2 linked regions of the Styela clava genome follow. The protein of the gene in region 1 interacts with the protein of each later gene in a pairwise test. Links are inferred from orthologs where the notes say so. Each region holds a gene or a part of one and is shown on either strand. Other genes may lie near its edges.

Region 1 (11,044 bases):
CAAACATTTGAATTGGATCTGCTTCACAATAAAGATTCTCGAGTTTGTTGAAATAAATTTCCTCAGATGAATTACAATCCAAACTGTCAAGATTGGCTATTTCCAATTCTGTATTCTGTTCACTATCCACCTCTTCATGTGTTATGTCTGATGATGGCTCATTGATAATAGCATCAGGTTTGGCATCATTAGATTGCACAGTAGATATAGGTAGTTCATTCTGGTGTGTTGACACATCCTCGGATGAAATACCAGCTTCATTTAATTTTTCTGTTACACTTGTCATCGTGTCCTCAATTGTATTATTTTCAGAAACTGGTGTCTCTATAGTTTGAGAAGCATTCGTACCACTGCTATCAAAATCTCGGTCCTGGTTCGTGGAACTTTGCTTTTTTATTCCTTTCGATTTCAAAAATGTCACTAATGACTTTGAAAAAACTGTTTCTTTGATAGGCTTTGCTTCCAGTAACTCCTTTAGTGACGCAGATGGCAACTTCAACAAAATTTGTAAAGTCTCGAGTGAAGCTGTTACAACATTTGCTTCTTTGAAGCAAGAAAAATGCACACAAAGCTCGAAAATTTGGACAATTATATCATCGAAAACAACGTCAATTTTTGAATCTTTATCTGAACCAAAACTGCCAGTTCTTCTTGTAATTTTTGTCCCTACAATTGCAAACAGAGGTATCAAATACCGTAATATGATAAGACTTCCTAATATGAAATTGACATCAAAATTTTTTGTTGAAAATGATCCAAGTATACTAGAAACAATGTTGAATAACATAACTTGCTTTTTACTTGAGTTGCTCACAACTTCGTAAATACATATCGAAGATGTCCTTCGAATCGCTGCAGAGGGGCTCGATAAATTTTTCATCAGTGCGTCTATAAAACTTTGCAATTCTGCTTCCGCGGCAAACGACCCAATTAAAGGAAATATTTTAGAGACAGATGCAGATAAACATTCTTGTATGCTTTCGTCATTCCGTTCGCATATTTTTATAAATGGTGGAAGAAGACTAACAACATATGGCCTGCATTTGCTTGGACGAATCCTGTGTGCCAAACTGGAGAAACGTACAAGCGCAGTTCTCAAACTACGACTTGATCCGTTTCTTTTAATTTCTTTGTAAAACTCAATCAAAACTTTCCCAAAATGCAGTTCTTCTGTTCCTTTTATGATTCTATTAATAGATTCCTCAGCTGCGATTCTAACATCAGCCTCAGCATCCTGACAACACAACAATAGCATTTCAATAGTCACACCCAATAATCCAGAATATTCATTATTGCCTTTCACAGGACTGGACAGTATGCTTTCCGCCATTGTTTTACAGCATTCCTGTCTTTCTGCCTTCGTCGGCATGGGAATCTGCTCCTTTTTATTTGCATCTGTTGTCTCTCCGCCATAATACTGTTTTATATTATTCACAGATTTAACAAGTTTCTCCATTTATATAAACTCTTGTAAGAATTCCAGTCACAAAATTACTAGTACCATCTACTTTATTACTTGGAAAATGATAGTTATAAAGAATTACATTGTGAAACTGAAGAAAAAAATGATTTTATGATAAAGTGTGAAATGAGTTATCCCAGCTAACTGAGAATAGTACGGTACATAATCAAAAACAATGACAAAAGTGTTCACATAGCGCGATACCGGTACTGTAATACCTTGAAATTTACAAGTCCCGAATTTTAATTTTTGCCTATATTATTACCAGATATTAGGACTGTAGGACAGGATTTACATATTTCTCCCCGGAGAGAGGAAAGTCGATAAGACAGCTTAACCATTCCATACCCGACATGGAATGGTAGTCGGACGAGTGGCCGTGGTTCGCCATATGGTTAGAGAGAGAAAAACTTTATTTCCACAAAACAATGTTAAAAAAGGATAACAGTACATATTTTTATGAAAATACAGTGCAGTGGATATTCAAACATTAAATTGTGATGGTCAGTATGCAAGACCTTCACAGGTCACCGAGGCTCCCGACCATTTTATTTACGCTGTGATCAAACTGTCAGCATGGATTATCACGCTATGAAATTATAAAATAAAGACAGAAAAATGAAAAACGAGTCGGCTGATAAAGAAAAACTTTCTACCATTCAACACTTTACATTAGATTCATTGTATAGTTCAGAGGGCATGTGTAAAAACTCTATATATATTATACTACACTTTCATCAAGTACAATACTAATCAAGTCAACCAGAATACAAACAGTCAACTTTAGAAAAAAATTTGGCAAAATTAAAATAAAAATTGCTTTGGTATGGACAGGTGGGAGCGATACGCCCATGCGGCATGCATAGGAGTCATCAAAGTCAACTCCTACCCTATTTGCTGATGTTGCTGATTATGATGTTGGTCTGGCAAATAACACATTAATAAATTCGATATATTGTAATCCCAGAAAAACTTCACATTGGGTGAGGGCATATTTTGTTGAAAACTCATTTAAACAATAAATTCTGTGGGCTTTAGATGATGTTAAACAATAATATATACAAACATTCGATATATGAAAAGAGCAAAAATAAAGATATATAGTCTATATATACAAGCTATGCTGTATACGGTATTAGTGGATGGTGAACTCAAAAAATGTGGTAAAAATGTACCGTATCACCAGCATGACAAAAGATTAAATGCAGCTTAGTCAGTTCATGGAATTCCTAACATATTTAAGCCAGTAACCAAATATACCGGTACTACCGGTATAGTACAGTGGTTCCCAACCTTTCTACCCTGGTGGACCGGTTAAATTAAATTAAATGTACTCGAGGACCGGCAAAAATTGAAATGACCGGAACATAAAAGAATATCGCATATTTGCGTAATACAATGCAACGTCGGGCACTCAATATGCATCTAGACAAAAAGGCACACTTAAAAAAACATCAATTAACTAAAAATTTTGCTGCTGTTTAGTTTCCAATATGGGATTGCAAACGATGCCTCAAGGAAGTTTCTGCAACACGTAGCCCTGCAGCGGCGTGCAACCAATTTCCTTGCTTCGCTTTAATTAAAGCTAGTGATGAAAATATTTTCATTTAAAAGTAATAAAAATATAAGTAACTCGTTGAAAATACGGACAACAGTTTGATTGCTCGATTACTTAGCGATGGGTATTTGTTATCAAGAGATATCCAAAATTGTGACAGTGATTCTTTTTTAAATCTGGACTGTAAAGTAGAATCACAATTTGAATCAAGCTTTTTCATTGGGTTTATCATATTAATCCCTGCCATGGACCATCCCTGCATGGGATTCGAACCTGCGAACCGACGCAGAGTAATTAGAGGTGCGGTGGCGAGCGTATTCCTAACGCTTAGCCCGTTGAGCCACACCGCCGCGGTTGGGAACCAATGCTATGGTATATGTAAAACAGAACACAAGGGAAATTTCTAATTGATCACTAAGCCATCTTATCCCTTTCCTTTCCCCAGGGATACGGTAAATAGAGAAATACCGGTATGTAAATCCTATGCTTTATTGCCTACACTTAACGCTGTAACGTTAAACCATTACCGGTACCGGTCCTATTTGTTTATACCAAACGCAGTCTTACCCAATAAATTAGCCTACCCACGGGCCACGGCATGTCTGTACAGCTGTATGTTGCGCCAAACCGGTACCGTAAAACCGGCTAACTTCGGATGATTTCACTATATTTTGAACAATATCTCCGCCGCATGTTGTTCAACTGAAGCCAAATTTGGAATATAATACATTGTGGCTATTCTCGTCTTGATAAAGTCGGTTCCATATCCATCAAAGCCTTTTTTCATTGAAATTATTGTCTTTATTCGTCTATTCTAAAATTATCTAACTTCGGATGGCCACTTTTCTCTTTGCGTCAACTCGTCGTGAGAGAGAAATGTCTGCGTAAGCAATGACGCGTGACAACGTCGCTGAATAGACCTTACGCCGCCACGACCTGTCTTGCGTGTTGAATACTGACGTTTGTACGTGACGTTACTCTTGCCGCTTCGCGAAGCTTAACTATTTATTCTTGTGTCCTTTATTATAACTCGTATATATTTCACTAACTACTCCTAATTTATTGCAAAATGCTAGTTCGTTCTTTTATGATCGTTTATTTTCAATGCAATAAAAGGATTAGCAAAAAAAAAAAACGGAAGAATTGAAAGTACCTAACACTGGTGTAGGTTGAAATTGAAATGCAATATGGAACAAGTAAAGAATGAACAAAAATTAGACAATTAAAAATAAACGGATGAATCGAATGAAACACTGGCAAAAGTAAAAATTGAAATCAAAAAGCAATATGGAACAAGTAAGGTATGAACAAAAAATCGACAGTTAAAAATAAACAGATGAATTGAAGGAAACGCTGGCAAAATCAAGAATTGTAATCATTTCCACATGGGTTAGACGGGTCTTGTGGAACCAATGTGTTTCGCTGCAGCTTTCGCAACCGACCCATTCATCCTCAATTTCCGTACTTCCATTTGGTTCATTCCATAATCCACAAGCAGAGCAGGTTTCGTCTTGATTATCACTTTTCATATTTTCTGATTTTCTCAGAGCTCCCCGTTGATCGGCTCGGCAGAGGTTCCTGCCCGGTGTGACTTTCGATCCTCGCTTTCGTTTCACTTAATAAAGTCAAATGACAATAAACGGATAAAAACGGCAAAAAGAAACTTTGCCACTTTTTTTCATTTTGCGCCTCACCTGTATGTGGTCCAACCTCCTGCTGTGTGCATGTATGTAGAGTTCTACGCTCACCTGTTAAAGATATTATTATCATCTGCCGATCGTAAACAGACATATCTAATCATTATGATCGTATAGATACATGTTTCAGGCCTAACGTATTACCAATTGCTACGGTATCTATCGGTGTCGGAGGAAGTATGCAAAAACAAAAATCGACAAATTTCATATGCATTAAGCGTATGCATACCCATATTTTTAAATAAACAACATATGACTGAGACGATAGTGATGTTTTTGTAGGATTTAGTGACTAGGATCATGTATAAGCATAATTTTTAAATTTCACAAAACTGGGCGCCGCGATGTCTGGCGTTCAAATGTCGCAGCGAGTAACGCACGAGCTACGCAAAGTGACGTCGGCTACGAAGAGAGAGAACGGGATTTGCGTCGTTGACGTCACGCTGTACGTAATCATCAAAACGTCAATATTTTAATGTAATTTTTAAATCAAAATAACCGATTTCACTCGAATCTCGTACGACACCTTGTGATCACTGTATTTTTTTGTATACATTGTGTACGCTCTCTAGCGCTTGGCGGTGATTTGACGAAGGTAGCGTCTGTAGAAGTCACGATTTGAGCCGCTCGAAAAAACGGTGTCATTTTTTTGGTAAAATATGATTTTTTGAATGATAAAAAATCAAATCGAGCGATTGGAGGCTACGGCAGATTCAGATATGTAAGGCCTTACTATAGAAACCGACAGAAGCGCAATACGACGAAATTTAGTTGAGATATGAATGATTGAAAATTTCATCCGAAGTTACAAAGCATCCGAAGTTAGCCGGTTTTACGTACCGTACCGTAACGGCTTACAACTAATACCGGTATCATTTCAGTCGGCACTACTGCTGTACTGAGTAAACGCTAATCACAGAGCGATTGCGTTGTGAGTTTTCTTTACTGGTACCGGTACCGGTGAGACTTTATGATTTTCACATTTTTGAACACGTAGTGGACATAACGATCGTTTCAATATTATGTTGTTCTTGTTGTTTGACACAGAATAACACACCTAGTGGAAATATTAAAAAACCGCTTTTCTCTTCGAATACCGGTACTGGACCAATTGCTTTGAAATTTTAATTGGTTGAAGATAAAATTTTTTCCCAGAAGGCTATTACTTTTATTCATTTTAAATATTTCTGTTAGCTCTGTGATATTTGTTTTTGTTTGCCATGATGTCGGACGCCATTTTGTGTCCTACTGTACTGCTTCGCTTGGTGTGAACAATGACATTAAACAACATGATAGGCAACTCTGACGTCACTCCATAAGACTACAGGCAAAACATTGTATTTCATGATACGCTCCAATGCACATATTTCTCGTCGCCTTTCGCGTCCGTTTTCCGCTCGCTTTTGCTACTCGGCGTCTTTTTTACGTGTAGTACCTGCCTTTTTGCGCCTGTAACGAAACAAAATAATCTCTATATCTAAGAAGTTTTGCTTACTTGGAAAGCTGGAATAACAGGCAAGCTGTAAAGAGCAATTCTGGACATCATAGACGTTTTTTTTTATCAGAAAAGATTACAAACGCGATAGCGGATTATTTTCTTCAATTTCAAATGCAATTACATATTAATATTTGCATTCCACTATTATTGCAACATTTGCAAGTTACAGTATTTATTATAAAAAATCGTAAAATTCTATGTACAACCATCAAAATCATATTTGAACAAGCTTTGAATAAGGAAAGAAAAATACATACACTGAAAATAACTTAATCTAAATATATGAACCTAAAATTAACAAAAATACTACAGTATAAACTCAATGTTTTAATAATTACATTCGTCCTGGCGTTTGGCATCTTTTTTGTGTCACCAGCATACTAAGGCCAGTCTGAAATGATTTTATAGTACCAACTCTAACTAACGAGGCCACATGATCATGGGTTTATCTGGATCTTTACGAATGTTTAATTAATTCCAGTAATGCAAAAAAGTTACTTTTATCATTTCATGTATAGATCAGTAAAAAAACAAATGACAGATTTTTCCGACAAGACATTTCGCACTACATTGCGTGGCATAGGATTGCTTGAATTATTATTGATTTTGATTTTTAGTAACTAAGTCGTTGTATAATTATATTAATATACAAACACATGGAAATTTTCTGTTCGAAGTTGGTCTTCGAATTTGTCATATTGACTGCTGAGCTTATTGTGTTTTTTGATTGTATTGATGGAAATATGACAAATTAAACAATGTGCTTCAGAATTTTGTGAAGAGCAGAAATGTTACAACTCCCATTTTCTTCGAAAATGCCACCTTCTTCGTGTACTTTGCGTTTAATTTAATTACTCAAGTGTTTTATTCAAGTATTCTTTTGCTAGCTTGATGTGTATTCTTAATTGGGTCAAAATGTGGACAAAAAAAATTAATATTCCAAAACTACTTTCAGTAAATTGTTTTCTGTGTGAATAATCAATTTCACTTTAGAAGGTTTGAAAATTCTATTACATTTAGATAAAAAAAAAACTTCCAAAATACTATTACAATTATTGTTAAGCGTTCGAGGGCCGCACTGGAAGTTCTCTGGGGCCGCGAGTTTGAGATCCCTGGTCTAGATTGAAGTTGTTCAAAAAATATATTATAGTATTTTATCATGAATGATGATTATACCCCTTTCGGAATTTCTTCTATAGTACTACCAAAAGTTGATGAACCAAATATAACACAGGTGCAGTGAGGTACCCGTAATCCTCATTTCCAAAGCTGTTTTAAGTATGTCTGGCGTGTTTTGTGCCTTTTTACAAATAAGACCGCTTATGCAATCTTACGCTTTGGAATTTTTAGTTATTTTCCTAAAGCCCTGCAGGATGTGGGGGCCATACACAACTCTACCGGAGGGTCAAATGTCTTTGCATGCCTCCATAGGTTGTTTTTCTATTGCAATTTTCTATTTTCAATTGCATTATATTTCTTGGAATCACACTGTCACTGATATGTCGCCAGACTTCTGATATCTCCACGTCTGCTATAGTTGTCCTGTGAATAAATAATAGGAAATTGAGATTAGACGAATAGTTGAAAGTTTTGCTTTATGTCGGCTTAATTTCTTGATTGATATACTTACTATTTCTGCTATTGCCTCTTGTGCTGCAAGAGTCTCACAATGCTTAGACAGGTTTGTCCACAACTTTCACATCTGAAGAAAAAGAGGAGATTTATTAATTTTCGTTAAGAATAAATAAAGCAGTCTATATGATTCAGAATGGAAAAGCTAATAAATCCAATATCTCATGTTTTATTTAAAAAATATTTTACTGAATTTTGGAAAATAAACCAACTAATAAAAGGGTTTAGTCAGAAAATTACAAGCATTCGTGGCTCCAAATACTTGAGAAATCAGACTATACAATATAGACCGGTATGAGTGACATGTTAGGTGAACTTGTTAACACTTTGATTAAATACGCAAATAAAAGTGAATGCGTAATAGTATGTTACAATGAGCAGCAATCAACAATGAGTATATATCCTCACTGATTAAAAAAAATCTAACTGGAGGTGCATGAACTATTTGAAACCATAAGGAGTAAGTAAATATGTAATTTCGGCAAATGGGCAACTACGTACCGTACTGAATTAATAACTTCGTAGTATTTGACAAAGGCTGGCTTTCCCACATGTACTTAACAGTGCGATGCCCGGGTGTGATATACAACAATAGTATTCACCTTACCTTTTACCGATTTCTTTTTACCCCAACTTTCAAAAATATCATTAAAATCGACAACAACTGTCAAAGCAGGCACGAACACCATTCGTGCTACGCCTTGAAAGCAGCACACATCCGCTCGTTTTCGTCTCGTCAAGTATGTGCATTGGAGCGTGCTATCGAATACGATCTTCGGACAAAAATGCCGGAGTTGCGCATCATGTTGTTTAATGTCATTGGTGTGAATATATTTGTAGACTGTGATTTGACGGTACGGTAAACTGTACTGTACTGCGAAGGTACCGGTACCGAACTGGTCGCCGGTAACTGGTCGCAAGGTACTGCACATTTGTGAAGAGTCATATTGTTTATTGCAATATTTTTTAGTTTATAAAAATCCAATAAAAAAATAAAAAAGAAGAGTCAGCTTCAACAATGGCTACCGGTACTGAATAATTGGCGACGAAAAGCGTTTATCCCAGGGCACTAGGAAAAAGAAAGAACGAAAATGTGGCTTTATCATACGGATAAGTGAACAACAGCCTTACTTCCGGTTACATGACCCATGTCCGGTATGAGGACAGTTGAAATTTAATTCGAATGAAATTAATTAAAAGTACAGGTATGTTATCTACACGGAAAGTTCGGAAAGCACTGCTCTAGCTGGAGTAACAAATAGACTTCATATTTGCAAGTGGAATTTCGACAGAAGAATAGGGCACAGGTAGTGTTTCAATGGGCACTGGTCTCTGACCAAGACGGAATCTTAATTGCAAATACCAAATTACATATTATGTAATATTTTGATTGATAAGTTTTGTCCTAAAAACACCACGCACTAAATGTTAATTCTAAAAATGTTTTTGTATTTTACGTAATGCTAATAGATGTTACCCCGGTTTTTGTCCCCAGAATATTTCCTACATATGTATATACTTTACTAGTTTACTTATGCGAAATTTTTATGCCTATCATCAAATAATTTTTATTTTCAATACTAAGAATTTTCAACCACCACCATTAAAATGTACCTGCAGCTATATGTCATCTTTTTCTGGCATTTTAACAGCAAACTAAAATTGACTAAGATACAAAATGACCACCGCTAGTTAGATTTACACTTACAATTTGAGTCACAAAAATAGAACTGAAAAATATTTAACAATATCACTTATGAACACACATATCCATCTGTTCTATAACAACCTTATTTATTACCATGCATCATTCTGGTTTGGGCGACTTTATCTGATCTCGAACCACATTGCCAATAAGAAAAAGTTAACATTCTTAAATAGCGTATGGATCATAATAAGTTCAAAAACTATACAGATAAGAAATTATTTAGCAACATCTTTCCTAACACACATATATAAAAATTCTCGGAAGAGATGAGGTTCGAAATTTTCGAAAACATGTTTTTTTTATTCAACTGTCTGAAATATATATCCTTCTTTTGGAAAACCATAACGAACTTACAGCTCTAAAAAAACAGTTTTATAACAGTTACGGTTTATAAAGATGGTGTAGGCGAGAATTTAAACATTTCGTTACCTATATTTGGAATAATGTGCTGTAACAGCCTCTTGTTGGCTTGGCCTTACCTGGCGTGACCTTCTATGTTTGTTGACCTACAACTTGAAACAGAAGGCCTGTAAAGTACAACAACATTGAGAATTGAAAAGTGAAGGTTGAATTAGGATAATTCTCGTCGTATATATTATAACGTTAGATTATTCTAACAATAGAAGATGAATGAACAGGCCCGAAGAAGTTTGCTTCATATCTGTATTCTCCATGCAGTCTAGTTATACGTTGTATGCAATATTTTTCTTCCTTTTTTTTGTCTCCTATAATAAATATAAATTCTTAGAGTTACGGTAGGCTTTCAAGTGCAAACGGGATCAGATAGTTTCACAATTTGACATTCAAAACTTGGTTTTCGTGCAACAACTTGTCTTTGTGAGACTTTGTGATTCAGTGCATTGTGAAATCAAAAATGTAGCACCAAAATGGAGATGACTAGCGGCTATACTTAGAGAAAGCCTCGTACGATTTTGAAAACTTGCTGGTGGCAAACAAGCGCATCTTTCTCATAAGTGCAATTTCGAAGAAATTTTTGATAAAACAAATGCTATATGTATAAGGTGATAATAGGGTAAATATTGACTTAGCTATGGCAGTACAACAACATGGTCTTTATTTATATGTGAAAACAATCCCGGATTAATTATGTATCTCAATAATAATAGATAGCACAAAAAAATGAGATGATTTTTTTCCAGCAACATCAATCACCCTAATATCAACAGCAAAAATTTACCAGGTACTATTCACACACTTCAATACATTCAAATTTTGGATTCCTCTATCCACGACGAATGTTTTACTTATCAGCAGTAGCTTGGCTCCTGAGCCATTCTCGCCCCTGCATTGAAACAAATTAAAATGTCTAAGGCGATCCTTTACCCGACTTGGACTGTGTATGAAAACATGTTTATATTTATATATATCCGATACTTTAAATGCCTGTCATTCCTAACTCGAAAATGATTCGCGACTGTTTTGTTTGGCTTAAAAACTGACTTGATTTGTCCTCAAATATATATATTCC
Region 2 (11,257 bases), on another chromosome or scaffold:
GTATATTCCACATAATGGACTAAACTAAACAAAAGGCAAGGATAGAAATGTTGAACGGTAAGAGTCATTCAATAGATGCTGTGAAGCAGACAAATACCAATAATTGAAAATCCCTTGTTTCTTACATAAACAGGAGCTTGCTATTTTAACTGGTAATAAATTCAATATAGCCTACTATCCGCGCAGCAGAAAAATCGCTCATATGATAGAAATATAAGTTTTTGAAGCCTGCGAAGTGAAAAAAAATATACATATGTGAAACTATATTGGAAGCATTGGCTTGATATAGAATTGACTCAATTTATATAGCATGCGATTGCCCAGTCTTTCAAATTAATCAATGTCTAGGATAACCAAGCAGAAATAATATGACCTGGTCAGTCATGATAAATGCAAGTTTTTTGAACAATTAGTTTTCTAATAATAATTGATTTTTCGGTTCTTCAGAAGTTTGAATCCCAACCGGTACACACATACTATGTTCAGGTTGTGCGCCATCTTGGTGCGCATACTTCTGGAGGTCCGATTTTTCATTATCATATAGCTCCATATTAATGCATGAATGAAACACTCCAAAAAAATATGAGCAGTAGAGGAAATGCCGGACCAAAACTCTATTGAATACTCCATTTTCAGTCGATGACATCACATCATGTTCTCACATTGAATTCACAAGCCTGCACTCAAACGTAACTCAAGACAAACAAAATCTGAGTCATAACATCATGTGTATTGTCTGAAACTATGTTTTAATGCATATTAGGGTGGAGTGACCAACTGAAGATACCACTCAAAAATCATCTTTCAACTTTCAAACGTATCTCTTTCAACAGAAATTTGAAATTTTTATATTAGAACTGTGACCTCATAAAATGTTATCCAATGATAACAAAGACTGCAGAAGTGTCTTATAGCCACAATGCTTTGAAACAGTGGCACACATTTGTCGTAGAAGGGAAAATGTCTTGGAACATGAATCAAGTTATACCGTAAAAAACTTTTTATAAATATAATAATCAAAAATCAACTTGTTAAATACTGTATTGCTGATTCCATATTCCAATTATGAGCAGAAAGTGCTTGCAATGCATCACTCTAAAAAAATGTTGAAAAATATGATAAGATTAATATCACTGCACAGTAGCTGGGAATGATCAAGAATTTGGTGGCGACTGGTAGATTCAGATATTTATTTCGTTGTGCATGAAAAATTGTGACGACACAATTAAAAATATATAATAATAAACGATCAATTTAAATAAAAAGATATTTTTTCCGCAGTTGACGGGAGTCGCAAGCAGACGGAAGACTACCAAAGTCGTTGTGTCAGTGACACCTTGTTTGCCGATTTCAGAAGTAGATGACATTGAACAACCATCTGCATATGGATATCTCAGTGGTATCATTCAATATCACTAATTCACCTAATATAAGAGACAGCTGAGAGGAACAAATTACCAGTTACCTGATTAGATATGATCATACTTTTCTCCCTTGATTCTGTAATCAGTTTTATTTATTGTTTCGTGATTATGGTTATGGAGTCGAAATACTTGGGCTAGCAATATTACAAGAAGCTAAAAATTGCACATGAATAACCCCTTTTCCATCATTGACTCCATTAGGGTCGAAAAACATAATTAATAATGAAAATGAATCTTACCTGAAAGAAACCCATTTCCGTGATTGTACGTATTTGTTTTTCAAAACTTTCCTCTTTTTTCCCTGGTGCTACAATAAAAGTAAATGGAATATTCATAATAGTCCTAGGTAATTGACTTTGATTTAGTATAAGCAGATATCTTTTTTGCAGGCTTTTTCAGAATACTGATAGATGAGAGTATTTTGAAAAGAAAAGGTTAGGTAATAAGCCAAGTGATATTTGTGATTGTGGTTTAACAAAATATTTGATTGCGAAGCAGGTGCGTGCTAAATACAGAAAATTAAAATTAGCCATATTTGATACTTCAATAAACTTCTTTTAACTTTAGGAATAATTTTATTTGGCAAAATTACCATGTCGAGCAATTGAAGGCTAACAGCATAACAAAACACAACAACTGCAAAAATAGTAAGAATCATTCAAATAATTCCTGCATTAACGAATACAACCTCATTGAAAGCTATTTACTCCATGCGTTCTTAGTTAAACATGACCATGTCATAGATTTTTAAATTTCATTATGTGTTCAGTTTATTCATCAGCTATTGAGTATTATATTTGCTTCGCATCGATTCACGAAGATACACGAAAGTGTAAACGAAAACGAATAATTGATAGAGTTGGTTGCAAATTGCGCTCAAATAAACCAACTTACCTTTTGCGAAATGTTGCGCCCAATATAATGCTGTTTTATTAAAAATATGTCGATTATCTTTAAACTGTTTTGCAACTACCGCATCTTGTGGATCATCTGGTTCTGCAGCCTGCAGTAAAGCTTGTAAGGATAATAAAACTGTTCGTAATGTAAGTGCAGCCGCCCTGTAATATAAAATTCACAGGATATTATTATTCTGCTTTATCTGCATGCATATACTATCGGCAAAGTAGCTGAGTATTTCGCTGTAGTTCGCTCGGCAGAGTCGCGCATCTTGCGAAGTGTTGGGAATAGGCTCGCCATCGAACCTCTTGCATGGGTTCATTCACAGTTTCGGATCCTGTAGGGGATACCGGTAATTATGTGCTGGAGGATTGCTGGACTGCTGCTTGCTGACGTGATTGGTACTCCTGTAGCGTGTGTACCAGGTTAAGGTGAGTGAGGCCATAATTTTATTCCGATTTTCCTTATTTTAGTTCTATTATGAGTACTGGGACTGTCCGTGTTAGTCAAATGAATTTACCCCCTGCTTATAGGCTTCAGTCCCTTTACACAACTTGATGTTAAGTGGGCGTACTAAACTAGTTACCTCCATATTGGTACACACACTTCTGGAGCGCCGACGTGATTTACCATATGAAAAAGTCGTCATATCGGTTATCCTGTGATGGGTCCTCTTCCATCCATCCTCTATTCAATTGGGAAAATATTGCGAATTTTTCTTCACTATCCCTGATGACCCAGACTTTTATTGTCTAACTACAACTTTTATTTTTATCATTTGAGCATGTTTTACATTCTACGTACCACTGATCTTTCAAGATATCGAGACATATTGCTCCAGTCACAGAACTAATGTTTGGATGCCAAATCTGTGTTAGAAATTTTATCTTCGGTGGATTGAATGGATATGTGTCTGGAATTTTGATATCCAAATCATAAGTTCCACCTTAAAAAAACAATCTAAATTAGATAAGCTATACAATTTATGAAATACAACATGAACAAAAAAGTCTACAACTACAAGATACTAAAACTGCCTTGGCATTGAGGAGCAATCAGAATAACGCCTTCAAAGAACTAAGTATTAGATGTTTCTCAGACTTTTAACCCAAAAATTTCTTTCTATAGGCTACTTTCTCATTGACAAATTTTTCATGCTCATTTTTGGATTTATTTTGCGAAATAAGCCACATCTAATGCAGCTTCTATGAGATCGTTTCACTGATTAGCCATTGTGGCAGAAATTAACAAGAAAATTGAAATAAGGACACTATTTGTGAGTGTCTCCAATAAGAAATATTACTGATGCTTAAATAAAGCATGTGATTGATAATCTAAATTTGACAAAGGACTATCTCAACATTTTGCTAGTGTTTTCAACTACAAAGAAGGGCCCTAATTGTAGAGTTACATTTATATCAAAGCAAATTCCACTTCTGAAAAGTGGAGATATAATACGAATAGGTAACTGTGTCAATTATTTTGTGGCAGCTACTGGTATGTAAAAACGAAACATACGAATAGGCAATTTATTTTTATCAATGCACTCTAGAAAATAGACATAACAATTGGGTATACCAGCATAAGGTGTTCCTGGTGGGCCTTTTATCTGTCCTCTCAATTCTGTCAGTTTACTTTCACAAGTGATCGTTATAAACAAATCTTTCTGTAACACAGATAACAGTTTATATCAAGGGCTGTAAATATTAGAGTTCAAAATGCATTGAATGCTTATTGAATATTGGTACTAATATCCAAAAAGTGAATAACATATTATGGTATTTTATTCATGCTACAGCATCCTTGCGTTACACGCATACGAATCCACTAGCGTAAAGGCATTGAGAAAGGATTGGGAGTTAGTCTCGCACACCTCTACTGAGAGTAACATATTCTCTTCTCACAAAATAGCATGTATGTTAGAAAACATTCATTTCTAACTGGGAGTCCCAGCCAACGGCGGGTCGTGAAAGGGCTCAATAGAGGATGTGGTGAAATATTTTTCGACACTAACTTATCTTATTAAAACAAAATATCGATCAAATTTGAAAGATTTGGAACCAGTACTGGAGGAGCCGAGCTTACCATGTTAGATGGAAGTAGAGCCTGACCTACCAGAAATTTTAGTGGTTCCAGCTACCAATCATCTTATCATTTTTCTAAATTTTGAATTTTAATAATATGGTAAATAAATGGTTGACAGTTATTGGTATTAATTATCCCCTCTACTGCTTCTACTTAAATCATGATTGGCATACCTCATCTTCAGCGTCTTTGAGCTCTCTCTTAATCCTCATAACAGCTATGCTGCTCATTCCTAAGTTTGGATCTTTATTAAACTTCTATGAAATATAGTTTGCTTCAAGATAATCACTAAAGAAAATTATCTACTGAAAAATGAAAAAGTGTGGTTCAATTATGTGCGATAAACTCGGACTTTTAACAATATTTTCATAAACCGCATAATGCAAAAAGTCAATTACAAAAAACTTAATAAGTCAATTACAAAAAGAACCTCATCAACAAAAAAGACTAATAGTTTGGAACAGTGGTTTCCAACCTTTTTTCTGTTACCAAACTGTCAGACTCAAAGATCTATTAGACTCTCTTTCAGCCCACATTCTCAATCCTTCTTGTGTGCAAAAAACAAAAAACAGAAGAGACACCCTATCCAAATTTTACCGCAATTGCTTATTGGCAATTTTGTTAATAAATCAGTGTCAAAATTTTGAAATAGTAATACCATCGATAATATCACATTGGCACAAGAGCCAATTTTTTGATGGATGGGAAAAATAAAATTGACTATGACAAGTAAATATCAATACCCCTCAATGAGAACCTAACTAAATGGCCCTTATTTTCAGTTGCGAGTAGGTAATTAAAAATGAGCTTTTTCGAATACTTGCAACTAATCGAATAAGTTGTCTTGAACCTCATTATTTTAAATAGGTAGAAAACAATTTTAAATTGGTCAATAACACAATATTATTATTAATAGTCAACTTCAATGCATTGATAGTAATAAAAGGCTCTCAGAAATAGAAAATACCATAGGTTGCCAAAGAATACTCCAGACACAAGTTTCGACAATATCACGTTATCACCCCATCTCAATTAATTTTCAAGACCACTCTACTCCCAACGAACACACTTTCCATGATATTACTAATGACAAATCAGAAACTGCTTTGAAACAAATATATTAAAGGGAACACTTCAAGACATCTGTTGTAAAATAGGTTTACTAGCATTGGAAGAGTCAAGTTGTGTTGTAAAATGTTGTTCCAAATTAGGGAACTGTGCTACTTTCTCAAGAAAAGCAGCGGCTTTCAAAATTTTTGGCTCACTAAAGTGTCTACCAGTAATTTGGAGTCCAATGGGCATATTATTTCTAGATAATCGAGTGGGTATATTTATGGCAGGAACACCAGCGATATTTGCAGCTTGAGTTAATACATCTTGCTCAGCTGATCGCGTCCTATTGTCCTCCGTTATAAATTCAGAGTATAATGGCGCATCAGAAATTACAGTGGGGGCAAGGAGAACATCGCAAATACCAGATGAATTAGAATCATCACTATCACAACTTGTATACAAGTTATGTGCTCCAAAAACTTTCTGGTAATCTTTTAATATAAGTCTCCGCACTTTTTGCGCTTTATAAAAATACTTTTCTATATTATCTTTTAAAAGAAAATAATTTCCACTAAGAATTCTACTTCGCACAGTATCATTGAATCCCTCTCTCCGAGAAACTGCGTACATTGCATATGTAGATTCATTTATAGACGACCTATGTCCATACTTAAGACCATCAAATCTTGCCATATTTGAGGCAACTTCCACATTACCGAGGATATGATAGCAAATTATTGAATATTTCATATGGGGCAAGCTCACAAGTGTTACTTCAGCACCAGCATTTTCAAACTGGTCCGCTGCCCATCGCCACATATCTACAACCTCCTGAGACATGCCATGAACTAGGCATTCCTTTGGTATACCAACTTTTAATCCTTTGACAGAAATATCATAATTTTCATTTAAGCATATTTTCAATTTCTTGCTTTCTATTGAAGTGGAGTCCATGATATCTCTCCCTTTTAATGTATCTAAAACAATAGCAGCATCCTCTACTGATCTTGCAAAAATGGAAGGACAATCCATTGAATTAACAAGAGGAATTAAACCATGACGAGATATTAATCCATAAGTAGGTTTTAAACCAACAACCCCACAATAAGAAGCTGGATTTCTCACAGAACCGCCGGTGTCCGATCCCAGAGCAAAATGGCAACATCCAGTTGCGACTGCCACAGCACCCCCACCTGAACTGCCCCCAGCAACTCTCCAATCTTTGCTAGACGGATTCAATAATACGTCAGGTGACCAAGGATTTTTCACAGGACCGTAGATAGATTCTATAGATCCCGACCCCATGGCAAATTCATCCATGTTGTTTTTTCCAATGAGTTGTGAGCCATGGTTTAATAATTTATTAAGTACAGTAGCATTGTATGTTGGTTTATAATTTGCCAACATTTTAGATCCACATGTCGTGAGTATACCTTCGGAAGAATAATTATCCTTCAGTGAGAATGTAGTTCCGGTCAGTATGTGATTTTTTTGATTGGTGACCTCATTGTTACCAGCCTTTCTTGCAACTGTGATGAAAGCATTGAGATGCTTAGTTTCATCTATTCTAGTTAATGATGATTTGAATATATCACTTTTTGATGTTTCATTTTTTTGAAGTGATCTAGAAATCGCTCTTATGCCCTTGAAATGCATTTGTTATCCTGATTTCAAGTATGATCTGTCATTATAGAAATTTGATTAAAATAATTCATGAATTATGAATGAATTCATAAATTAAATAAACATAACTCGTAATTTTTCGTTTGTTACCCCTTTAAACATCCATAGCAATGCAGTACAGCAGTAAACAAAGTATAATAAGCATACCATGTAGTAAACAAGGCAATGCTAGCCGTCACACTGCTAAACGTATCAACACATTGGATGATTGAACGTTGTGGGAAATATTATAGGTGAAGAATCACTAACACTGTGATTAGTCACCACCAGACCCGAGGTAGCCGTAACAATCAGCAGTTATGTGAGTCATCCTACGGCGACAATCAAGGGTCAGAGAGAGAGAGAGAGAGAGAGAGAGAGATTTATTTCGTCAACCAGAAAAAAACAGTCATAATAATAAATAAATAGTGGCTATAAAAAAGTACGCTTTTTTCGGTGTAGACTGGAAGGAGCGATACGACCATGCGGTCATCGAAGTCAGCCCCCTCCAAGTTTACGCTGATAAATTCACAGTAAAATAAGATTATTAGAAATGGTTGAAGTTCACGACACAAAATTTGAAAAAACAAACAAAAAAATGAAGTAAATAAAAGTAATTAATTTTTTTTCCGTGAAATCAATTTTTAAATGATGAGATTTGAAAGTGAGGAGTAAGACCCACAAATTAAAAAAAACAATTTTGGCTATTGGACTACTATACTCAATGTAGATTTGGACGCAAGGAGCCAGCCTTACATGTACGAATGAATTTCAGGAGATAAACAACATGGTACTCATGTAAAACAATTGGTTCAAGAGAGGAATCAACCTTCCAACGAGAATATCGGTCAGAGACCGAGGACTTATCGATCAAAAGTCAGGGGATCCCCCAAAAAAACGCTCTTACTCCATAGTGACAACTTGTGTCCCATCACTATTGATTAATAACTCGCTAATTATACGATATACTTCGCCCAAAATCAATAGGCTTCTGGTCCGAGATATGATGAATGCACATGAAAAATCTGGAGCAGATTCGATCTCGTTTTCGTGAGATATCGCGTGCATCTAACAGACAGACAGACAAATACCTATCAACATACTTACCGATTAAAATCGATAAGTAACAAGAAAAATTTATGGCAAATAGGTGACTGAAAAAATATTATATACCCCAATTAAGAAACAATTTTGGTAAACATACGATCGATAGTCATATATATAAATACAATTTAGGTTGAATAACTATTATTAGTAAGCCTTTCAAACAAGACAACAACTGTGGCCTATTAAAAACTTAAACCCAATATTTAAATAGGTAAACGATGACTATTATTTTGAGCAGCAATAAATCAGCCTGACAAATAAAAGGCAGTTTTTGCAAATATACAAGTAGCCCTCATATATAAGTGGTGCGGTGCAGAGGTGCGGTGGCAAGAGTATTTTCGACCAGAAATAAGTATGTAACATTGGCAAATTAGATAATACAGCAATATTGGCAATGTTAGTCTATATCAGGGATGGCAAACCTTTTTTACTGGATGGGTCAAAATTATACTTTTATTATGGTGGGTCATAGATATTTAATCAAAGTTTACATCAATGAGAAACTTCTTTTCAGCAAGTCTTATAATCCTTGGTTGGTATTATGTTGTTTTGAGCTTGACATATAACATGAAGCACTTACAGATACCGGTATACAGTTAAGACTAAGGCAGTAAGGACAGCACTAAAAGGCTGAAGGAAGAAACGGATGAAGTGGAGGGAAAACGGAAGTTGAAGTGTTCCCAAAGGTGAAAAATTAAAAAACACTAAAAGGCTGAACACTAAAAGGAAGAAGTGGATGAAATTTCTTCCGACGGGTAGTTAGGTGGCTGAAGTCACTAAAAAGCTGAACACTAAAAGGAAGAGGTGGATGAAATATTTTCCGACGAATAATGAGGTGGTTGAAGTCACTAAAAAGCTGAACACTAAAAGGAAGAAGTGGATGAAATTTCTTCCGACGAATAATGAGGTGGTTGAAGTCACTAAAAAGCTGAACACTAAAAAGAAGAAGTGGATGAAATTTCTTCCGACGAATAATGAGGTGGTTGAAGTCACTAAAAAGCTGAACACTAAAAGGAAGAAGTGGATGAAATTTCTTCCGACGGGTAGTTAGGTGGCTGAAGTCACTAAAAAGCTGAACACTAAAAGGAAGAGGTGGATGAAATATTTTCCGACGAATAATGAGGTGGTTGAAGTCACTAAAAAGCTGAACACTAAAAGGAAGAAGTGGATGAAATTTCTTCCGACGAATAATGAGGTGGTTGAAGTCACTAAAAAGCTGAACACTAAAAAGAAGAAGTGGATGAAATTTCTTCCGACGAATAATGAGGTGGTTGAAGTCACTAAAAAGCTGAACACTAAAAGGAAGAAGTGGATGAAATTTTTTCCGACGAATAATAAGGTGATTGACGTCACTAAAAAGCTGAACACTAAAAGGAAGAAGTGGATGAAATTTTTTCCGACGAATAATGAGGTGGTCGAAGTCACTGGTTGAAGTCACTAAAAAGCTGAACACTAAAAGGAAGAAGTTGATGAAATTTCTTCCGACGAATAATGAGGTGGTTGAAGTCACTAAAAAGCTGAACACTAAAAGGAAGAAGTTGATGAAATTTCTTCCGACGAATAATGAGGTGGTTGAAGTCACTAAAAAGCTGAACACTAAAAGGAAGAAGTTGATGAAATTTCTTCCGACGAATAATGAGGTGGTTGAAGTCACTAAAAAGCTGAACACTAAAAAGAAGAAGTGGATGAAATTTCTTCCGACGAATAATGAGGTGGTTGAAGTCACTAAAAAGCTGAACACTAAAAGGAAGAAGTTGATGAAATTTCTTCCGACGAATAATGAGGTGGTTGAAGTCACTAAAAAGCTGAACAGTAAAAGGAAGAAGTTGATGAAATTTCTTCCGGCGAATAATGAGGTGGTTGAAGTCACTAATAAGCTGAACACTAAAAGGAAGAAATGGATGAAATTTCTTCCGACGGATAATGAGGTGGCGGAGGTCACTGAAAAGCTGAACACTAACAGAAAGAAGTGGATGGAATTTCTTCCGACGGGTGGTGAGGTGGCTGAGGTCACTAAAAATCTAATCACTATAAGGAAGAAGTACGTTAGGGTTAGATGATATTTTGTCCTATCAATTTTGAGGCGGTTGAAGTCACTAAAATACCGAACATTGGGAGAGTTAAATAGCCAAAACATATCCCGACGGAAGTGAGATTGGATGAAGACCCTGAAAGCGGACTGATGAGTAGGCATGCCCCTTTTAGATTTATGAATTGAATCGATTCAAATCGCAATTTTTTTCGAATCTGATTTACGCGATTCGAAAGAAAGAGAGCCGTTTAGCGAAGAAAAACAAACACTCCAAATAACACCAATTGCCAGACGGGAATGTATAAATGAATTTTTCGTTATTTACTTTTATTGATCTGCCTTCATTCATTTTCATGTTCAGCGCAACACACCCTGATCATCACTCGAGATGCTGACGTGCTGTGTGGGTAATTAATTTCCTTCAATCTGTCAGTTGAGTGACTGACCTAAGTTTCTATCACACGCAAATTTAAATGGGTCGTATACCCGAAAGTTCGTTGCAATTTTGTTAAAAATATGCAACAGCACACCTTCTCTGCGACTAAGTTATGGTACGCCTTGACATGATTTGATAAACGATCAGATACCGACTTCTAGAAAACATTTAATTTTGATTGAAATTTAATTTAAACTTCGTTGAAATTGAAATATTGGTACTACTGAAGTATGCGCACCAAGATGTCGCACAACCTGATCCCTAACCTCGTACACCAGTGATTTTCAACCTTTTTTGTATCGCGGAACACTTTTTTTATTCTAAAATTGTGACGGAACACCAAATGAGATTTTTGGAAATAAACTATATTATGCAATTAAATGACATCGATCATTTCGGAAAAAAATAAATTAACGAGATTTAATATTAGCTTGTCAACTTCAGCTGGAAAAGACGTTACACATATTCCGATTCAGAGCTACCGATGAGCTAGGAACAGAAATGGTATTTTAATGTAATATCTGGGCCTGTTTCGATGAGTTTCAATTTTTTATTCTGGCT

The links. The genes of interacting proteins can lie anywhere in the genome.
Region 2: the proteins of huntingtin-like (region 1) and ubiquitin-conjugating enzyme E2 K-like interact in binary tests that used the Homo sapiens proteins (3 or more experiments, as listed by UniProt). The link is inferred for Styela clava from reciprocal best matches to the Homo sapiens genes HTT and UBE2K.

Annotation. Positions count from the first base shown.
Region 1 is NC_135250.1:24,313,051-24,324,094, forward strand, and holds the start of huntingtin-like, read right to left. Parts: upstream 4,856-11,044; 5' UTR 4,715-4,855; exon of another isoform or gene 4,636-4,714; 5' UTR 1,457-4,635; coding exon 1-1,456.
Region 2 is NC_135262.1:10,412,518-10,423,774, forward strand, and holds the start of ubiquitin-conjugating enzyme E2 K-like, read right to left. Parts: upstream 4,770-11,257; 5' UTR 4,637-4,769; coding exon 4,580-4,636; intron 3,988-4,579; coding exon 3,900-3,987; intron 3,268-3,899; coding exon 3,126-3,267; intron 2,483-3,125; coding exon 2,319-2,482; intron 1,732-2,318; coding exon 1,664-1,731; intron 1,496-1,663; exon of another isoform or gene 1,282-1,495; intron 1,096-1,281; coding exon 1,024-1,095; 3' UTR 1-1,023. Other genes in the region: glutamyl-tRNA(Gln) amidotransferase subunit A, mitochondrial-like, read right to left, coding at 5,541-7,115. UniProt on the Homo sapiens protein: Accepts ubiquitin from the E1 complex and catalyzes its covalent attachment to other proteins. In vitro, in the presence or in the absence of BRCA1-BARD1 E3 ubiquitin-protein ligase complex, catalyzes the synthesis of 'Lys-48'-linked polyubiquitin chains.